Linked DNA regions of Oryctolagus cuniculus. The protein of the gene in region 1 purifies or fractionates together with the protein of each later gene. This does not show direct contact. Links are inferred from orthologs where the notes say so. Each region holds a gene or a part of one and is shown in the gene's direction. Other genes may lie near its edges.

The links. The genes of interacting proteins can lie anywhere in the genome.
Region 2: the proteins of WASHC3 (region 1) and CAPZB purify together in Homo sapiens (co-immunoprecipitation; 4 studies listed by BioGRID and IntAct, with this or other methods). This does not show direct contact. The link is inferred for Oryctolagus cuniculus from reciprocal best matches to the Homo sapiens genes WASHC3 and CAPZB.

What each region holds. Positions count from the first base shown.
Region 1 is NC_091442.1:105,008,549-105,012,296, reverse strand, and holds the start of WASHC3 (WASH complex subunit 3), read left to right. Parts: upstream 1-1,323; 5' UTR 1,324-1,443; coding exon 1,444-1,494; intron 1,495-2,017; coding exon 2,018-2,116; intron 2,117-3,748. UniProt on the Homo sapiens protein: Acts as a component of the WASH core complex that functions as a nucleation-promoting factor (NPF) at the surface of endosomes, where it recruits and activates the Arp2/3 complex to induce actin polymerization, playing a key role in the fission of tubules that serve as transport intermediates during endosome sorting.
Region 2 is NC_091438.1:151,225,479-151,229,126, forward strand, and holds part of CAPZB (F-actin-capping protein subunit beta), read left to right. Parts: intron 1-1,213; coding exon 1,214-1,327; intron 1,328-3,648. UniProt on the Homo sapiens protein: F-actin-capping proteins bind in a Ca(2+)-independent manner to the fast growing ends of actin filaments (barbed end) thereby blocking the exchange of subunits at these ends.

The sequences.
Region 1 (3,748 bases):
ATTCCTTAAAAAATAAATTTAAAAAATATTCTTTAATTTTTTAAAACAAAATAAAAGTTTGTTAAACCTTAAAAAAGATTTATTTGCAAGCCTTTGGTTTATAATTCTGGATGGTGGGACAAGTTAAAATGCAAATTTCTGGACTCATTCAGCATAAGTCTTGATGTAGTTTATCTGGGGTTAATCAATTGCTGGAATGTACATTTTCAGAAGTACCACCCACTCCTAAATAATTAAAGCAGGAAATCTCTAAGACACTTAGAGCAACACAGATCATAGTATAAAAATTGGCCTTCACTGAGATTCTCCTTTTTTCCCACCTCATTTCTTACTTTTTTCCACTTCTGGGACTTTCTGCTTCCACAAAAGCAAAAATTTTGCATTTCCTTTATGTACCAAACCCCCTCACACCTCTCTGCCTTTGTCCGAAGGTCTACCACAAACTGCCTACCATCTCCTAATGTGACATGGGTGCTGAACAGCTGCCGTGGCCAATGTTCTCAGAGGACCCAGGAGCACCTTTCCCCTGTAGCACCACAGCACTTTGTTTCCGAGAGGATGCAGGTGTACACAAGTGTTTGCGTGTGCCTCTCTGCTCACCCACAACTTTCACAGTATTTTGCTTGCACGTCTAACTCTGCTATGTGTGTCTTCCCTACACCATATACAGTTCTTGAAGTCTTCGTCTCTCGGTAGGGACCACCTTGACTGGGTTCCAAATTCTGGTTACGTGACTTGCCCCACGTTGCAGAGCTGGAAAATCGTTTTGCATGGTCAAAATCTGGGCCAAGATATTCAAATTCCAGGTGCAAGGTCTTTCCGGAACACTGTGAGCGCGTTTCTGACGACACTGCTACAGGGTGAGCACCCTGCATATTTTACGCCTCACCGGCAGCGTTTGCCATGGTTTTATCACAGTGTTAAATGTCTTTGGAGACAGGTCTTACCTCCTCCAGAGCAGGAGCCTCCTCAGTGTGCTGACTCAAGCTGACTCAATCTTTGTATTCCGCGCAGGCCTAGCGCGTAGTAGGATTAAAAAAAAAAAAAAAAAATTGTTCAACCAATGACACTGTTTATACAACAGACAGAGCTAAGTAGGGATCATTTCAAACGGGCCAATTCTTGATCGTACTTTCCACGCTTGCCCCGTCCCCACCCCTCACCCCAACATTCAAGAAGTTAACTGCTAGAAAGGCTGCAGCCCGAGTCCCCGACCAACGTCACAATCCAGACCAAGAACTACCCGCCCCAGAATGCCGAGCGAAAGTGGGCGGGCTTTCCGTGAGCCGAGGTTGTGATTGGCGAGCGGAGGGGTTTCCTTCCGGTGGGAAGGGCCACGGAGGCGGGGACTTGAGGAGGTGTTGCGACGCGATTACCGGGTTGGGCGGGGCCCTTCTGGGAGGGGTGTGTGGGTGAGCCTGGGTCCTCCCGCCCGCCGAGGAGATGGATGAGGATGGGCTTCCACTCATGGGGTCGGGCATAGACCTGACCAAGGTTTGTAGAAGACCGAGATGAACTTCCGGTGACTGGGGAGGAGGGGGCTGGGGAAGGGACGTCCGGTTCCCCGGGAGACCCCACTTCTCCAGGCCCTATCTTGGCCCTGGGCCCCTGTTCGGCTGACTTAGGAGGCTGAGTGCCACAATCACTTTCCTTGAAGAGGGACCCTCTCGAGTTGACTTAGTTGATGAGGGTCCTCTGTGAGCTCTCACTTCCTGTGTCATTGCCCGCCGGAGACAGACTGGTTGCGACCTTTAACCTCTCTTTTATCTAATCCCAGGTTTTGTGTATTTATATATGTTGGTTTAACCTGCTAAAAATCCGTGCTCGTGAATCTAGGGCGCGTTGTAAAAATGTTTCTGCAGGTGACACCCCACCCACAGTTTGGGAAAACAAGCTAATGACTATTCGTAGTCCAAGAAATTCATATCACACGGCAAAATGTTCCGCTATGATGTCTGAAGGGATTGGGCGATCTACGTTCCTCCTGCCAAATCATGTTTGTTTTTACGTAACACAGGTGCCAGCTATTCAACAGAAAAGAACGGTGGCATTTCTTAACCAGTTTGTGGTGCACACTGTACAGTTCCTCAACCGCTTTTCGACAGTGTGTGAGGAGGTAGGTCTTGTGATACTGGGTTGTGGCATAGTGTAGCCGTCTCTTTGCCCTTCTGCGGTTGACAAATGGAGGAAAACACGAGCTACAGTCTCTGCATTCATCTACTGTGACCTCCCATCACACAGCAAATCCTCTTTGATTCTGTTAGGCTCAGTCCTGTACCTACCTCTGCTGAGCTTGGGATCCAGAGACCTCTGAGTGAGAGTTAAATCCAGCTTAGTGAAATTAAACAGAACAAAAGAGAATCCCCATCTTTTATTTGCAAAGCTATTTGTTCTCCTACCCAAAGATTTATATTTGAGAGTACACATTGTTTCTGTTTATAATAAAATTATTTTACATTCCTTCATCCAAAAGATGGCTAAGGGGTGGTAGCCCAGAAACATAACTTTGGTGTCAAATCTCATTTTAGGAGTAAAAACATTTTCTGCAAATGACTTGAGAAGTGAAGATTCAGTACCCAGTTACAGCTGTCTTTTAAAAAAACTAAAAAACATGGGGAGGAACACGTGAAACATGGTTTGAAATTGAGTTTAAGAAAAGAAAAAGAAAACTAAATCATAGTACTTAGATAATTCACAAGTGAGTCAGTTGAACATTCTGTCTTATAAAAAACGTAAAGGTTTACCAAAATAGAATTTGTGATAGCTGCATTTTTATTAATAAAAGCTGCATGGAGACAGGAAAACTGTTTTAAGATTATTTATTTATTTATTTATTTATTTGCAAGGCAGAGTGGCAAAGAGTGAAGGAGAGACAGAGGAGGAGAGAGGTCTTCCATCTGCTGGTTCACTCCCCAAATGGCCACAACAGTCAGGTCTGGGCCAGGCTGAAGCCAGGAGCTCCATCCGGGTCTCCCACATGGGTGCAGGGGCCCAAGTACTTGGGCCATCTTCTGCTGCCTTCCCAGGAGCATTACCAGGAAACTAGATGGGAAGTGCAGGGGTCAGGACTCAACCTGGCTTTCAATATAGGATGCCAGCATCCCAAGGAGAGGCTTAACCTGCTGTTTGACAATGCTAGCCACTAGTTATCAAAATGTTTTCTGCTTTCCCATTAAGACAAAAGAAAATGAAATAGATAATCGATAAAGAAAGGCATTCAATTCACTGCATTTTGTATTAATAGGCCCAGAAACCATCTCAGGACTGTTAGCAGAGAGGAACAAATGCTCCATCCCTGTAGTCCTGGTTAAAAAAGAAAAGCAAGGCAGGTGCCACGGCTCAATTGGCTAATCCTCTGCCTTGCAGCGCCAGCACACCGGGTTCTAGTCCCAGTCGGGGCACCATATTCTGTCCCGGTTGCCCCTCTTCCAGGCCAGCTCTCTATTGTGGCCAGGGAGTGCAGTGGAGGATGGCCCAAGTGCTTGGGCCCTGCACCCCATGGGAGACCAGGAGAAGTACCTGGCTCCTGCCATCAGATCAGCGCAGTGCGCCGGCCGCAGCAGCCATTGGAGGTTGAACCAACGGCAAAGGAAGACCTTTCTCTCTGTCTCTCTCTCTCTCACTGTCCACTCTGCCTGTCAAAAAAAAAAAAAAAAAAAAAAAAAAAAAAAAAAAAAAAAGCAAAACAAGCAACACACCTATGAAAGCAACTTGATTGTGTTGCCCTAAGGCAGGGATCACCCCTACC
Region 2 (3,648 bases), on another chromosome or scaffold:
GCGTCTGAGTGCCGGGCACTGAGTAACCAGTGGAGAACGAGACCAGGGGCACCTCCTTCCACGGAGACTGCCACGCTGGCCGTCCAGACCAAGCCACAGCAGAGTAGGACGTCGTCCTGGTCGCTGCAGACCGCTGGGCACGCTCGGTCGCGTGTGTGCTTGCAGGAGGCAGGTGCACTCGTGGGCCTTCATCCTCTCAGTTCTGCCAGGCAGCGCTGTTGAGAAGGCGAGCAAGACAGGAGCTGGCACAGCAGCCTTGCCCGGAGCAGAGAGGCCTCTCGGGAGAAGGAGGCACCCACGTGGGCGTCACCTTGTCTTCCAGGCCGTCTGGGCTCCCAGCTGGTTCCTGCGTGACCACTAGAGCTCACACTGGTGCGGGGCAGCACGGAGTGTTTCTCCCCATTCTCGCAAAGGCTCCACCAGCTGGGGGTGGCGAGTGGGGCAGGAAGGAGGGCTTGCAAAGGCTCCTTCTGCCTTGGGGTGATCAGGAGCAGCTGTGGCAGGGAGACCCCCTCCCCGCCTTGCCCTTGGTGACCCGGCCCCTGAGAAAGCAGGCACCTCTGTCCCGCGGCAGCTCGCAGGAGAGGCGGCCCAGCTCCCTCTGACCCCTAACTCAGCGTGGTTGCCTGGTGGGGTTGGCCCCAGGAAGGAAGCTGTCTGTGCACAGAATTCGTGAAAGCTGGCTTCAGGAGACGGCCCTTGTCAGCAGCCTCTTTGGCGTCCAGAGTGGCGTGAAGGGGCGTCGTCGGCAGGAGCAGCGGACAGTAGGCGCAGGATCCTGATGCTGCGGACACCGAGAGACTCCCCGCCCCAGGCTGTCTGCTTTTCATTCCTCTCGCCTTTTTAACCGGGTCCTTCCCTGAGCCCCTGCTGGAGTCACCAAGGGCGTCTTCTCCTCACCCCTTCCCACACGCTGTAAGGAGGTCTTCGCAGAGCCGGCGGCAGTCAGCGAGGGAAATACAAAGGAGTCGGAGAAGGCAGAGGGAGGAGCTGGCCTTGGCCGCCCAGTGCCTGCCCGCGGGCACGCCATCGGCCCTCCCCTTCACTCCCACAGCAGCCTCTGCTCACCGCGCGCTCGAGGCTCAGCCAGTGGAGACGCTGGCCGAGGGTGCACAGCTGCGGGGGCTGGGCTGCACACCCCTGCTCTGCCCCTGCTCGCAGGCCCTGCCTCCATGGAACCATTCCCATGACCTCCTCTTCCCCCCACCCCCAGGTCACCATGGAGCAACAAGTACGACCCTCCATTGGAAGATGGGGCCATGCCGTCCACACGGCTCAGGAAGCTGGAGGTGGAAGCCAACAATGCCTTTGACCAGTACCGAGACCTGTGAGTTTCGTGCCCCTCCCGAGTGGGCAGGGCGGGGCGCTCCTCAGATAAACAGATAATTGGGTCAGTGTGGAGGTGACGGGGGCGCACACCTCCCGGGGGGCTGCTCCTGCTGCTCCTGGTTCCCAGCGCCTGCTGTGTGAGACACAGGTGTCTCAGACCTGTCCTCTCCGGCAGGTGGAGCCCCCGCATTTCAGGGGTGAAGAAATAGACGTGCGTCCAAGGCAGGGCCAGGGCTGCAGCTCTGTTTTTACCGAACCTTGCGCCACGTTCTGCCCGGCAGCCCAGGGCCCTGCTCGCCCGCTAGTTGCCAGGGCAGCGTGAGTCACTGTCCCGAGCTGGCTGGACCCCGGCCGTCCCTCTAAACGGATGTGCTGGATCCCGAGCTGTGTGACCCCGGCCCATCACAGTGTCCCCTGCCCCCCAGCACCGCCCCACATGGGAGCAGCCTCTCACTCAGGCGCTCACCCTCTGGCAGGGTCTGTCCCGCGGGTCCCAGCACAGCCGTGACGTCCGTGACGCTGAGCAGAACTGCTCAGAACGGAGTCAGCGGCTCCGTGAGGGACCAGGCAGCAACATTTTAGGCTCTGCAGGTCTGTTAAGGTCTCTGTTGCTTATTCTTTGTTTCCTTTTTACCTGCAAACCCCTTTAAAAATGTAAAATCTGCTTCTCGAGCCTTGAGGCTGGTGGGATGTAGCCTCAGTCTGTAGCCTCCCCTGGTGCAGGAAATGGGCAGGAAAACGGAGACGAGAATGGAAGCGCCTGAGCAGGGGTCCGCGCTCTGCAGACGCCGCCATACCTTGAGTGTGGTGGTCCGCCCTCCCCCGATGCCGCCATACCTCGGGTACGGCGGTCTGCACTCCGCCGGGTGGGCAGCTGGCGTGGCTGACTCACTTGGGGCACTTCGCTCTAGCATTTTTTTTTTTTTAAGATTTGTTTATTTGAAAATCAGAGTTACAAAGAGGCAGAGGCAGAGAGAGAGAGAGAGAGGTCTTCCATCTGTTGGTTCACTCCCCAAATGGCCGCAACAGCCAGAGCCATGCCAATCCAAAGCCAGGAGCTTCTTCCAGGTCTCACATACGGGTACAGGGGCCCAAGGACTTGGACCATCTTCTGCTTTCCCAGGCCGTAGCAGAGAGCTGGATCGGAAGTGGAGCAGCTGGGTCTCAAACCGGCGCCCATATGGGATGCCAGCACTGCAGGCCAGGGCGTTAACCTGCTGCACCACAACACTAGCCCACCCTTTTTTTTTTTTTTTTAAGAGTTGTTTGTTTATTTGAAAGTGTTACACAGAGAGAAGGAGAGGCAGAGAGAGAGAGGTCTTCCATCCGCTGGTTCACTCCCCAAATGCCCACAAAAGCCAGGGCTGGGCCAGGTCAAAGATGAGAGTCAGGAACTCCATCTGGGCTCCCATGTGGGTGACAGGGACCCAAGGACTTGAGCTGTCACCTGCTGCCTCCCAGGCTGCACATTATCAGGGAGCTGCATCAAGCAGGGGAGCTGGGAGTCAAACCCGGCACTGCGGCGGTGCAGGTTGCAGGCGTCCCTGGGGTGGCCTAGCCAGCTGCACCACAGTGCCTGCCCTTGCACGTTCAGTAAAGCTTTTACTTTAGACAAGAGGAAACACGACACTTCTCTGACAAATTCCCTCACTACACTGACATGCCAGAGCTGTGTCCGTCACATGCTGCATTTTACATGGATCGTCTGCTTTGATAATTTTTTTCCATTGAGAGAGCAAGTATTCCCATCACTGGTTTATTCGGGGGCCTGCGATGGCAGGAGCCAGGAGCCAAGAACCCAGTCCAGGTCTCATCTGTGGTGGGGGAGCCCGGTCCAGGTCTCTTCTGTGGTGGGGGAGCCCGGTCCAGGTCTCTTTTGTGGTGGGGAACCCGGTCCGGGTCTCTTCTGTGGGGGCGGGAGCCCGGTCCGGGTCTCTTCTGTGGTGGGGGAGCCGGTCCAGGTCTCTTCTGTGGTGGGGGAGCCCGGTCCAGGTCTCTTCTGTGGTGGGGGAGCCGGTCCAGGTCTCGTCTGTGGTGGGGGAGCCCGGTTACTGGAGCCATTCATTGCCTGTCGCTTCCCAGGGTCTGCGTTAGTGGGAAGAGAGAATCGGGAGCAGAGCTGGGAGTCACACCCGGGCACCCGGGCACCCGAGGCGCTCAGATGTGGGTTGTGGGCTTTATTATTTTCCCCATTTTGTTTGGAAGGCAGATAGATCTTCCATCTCTGGGTTTGCTCCTCAAATGCCTGCAGCAGCCGGGGCTGCATCCGCTTGAAACCAGGAACCCAGAACTCCATCTGGGTCTCCCACGTGGGCAGCA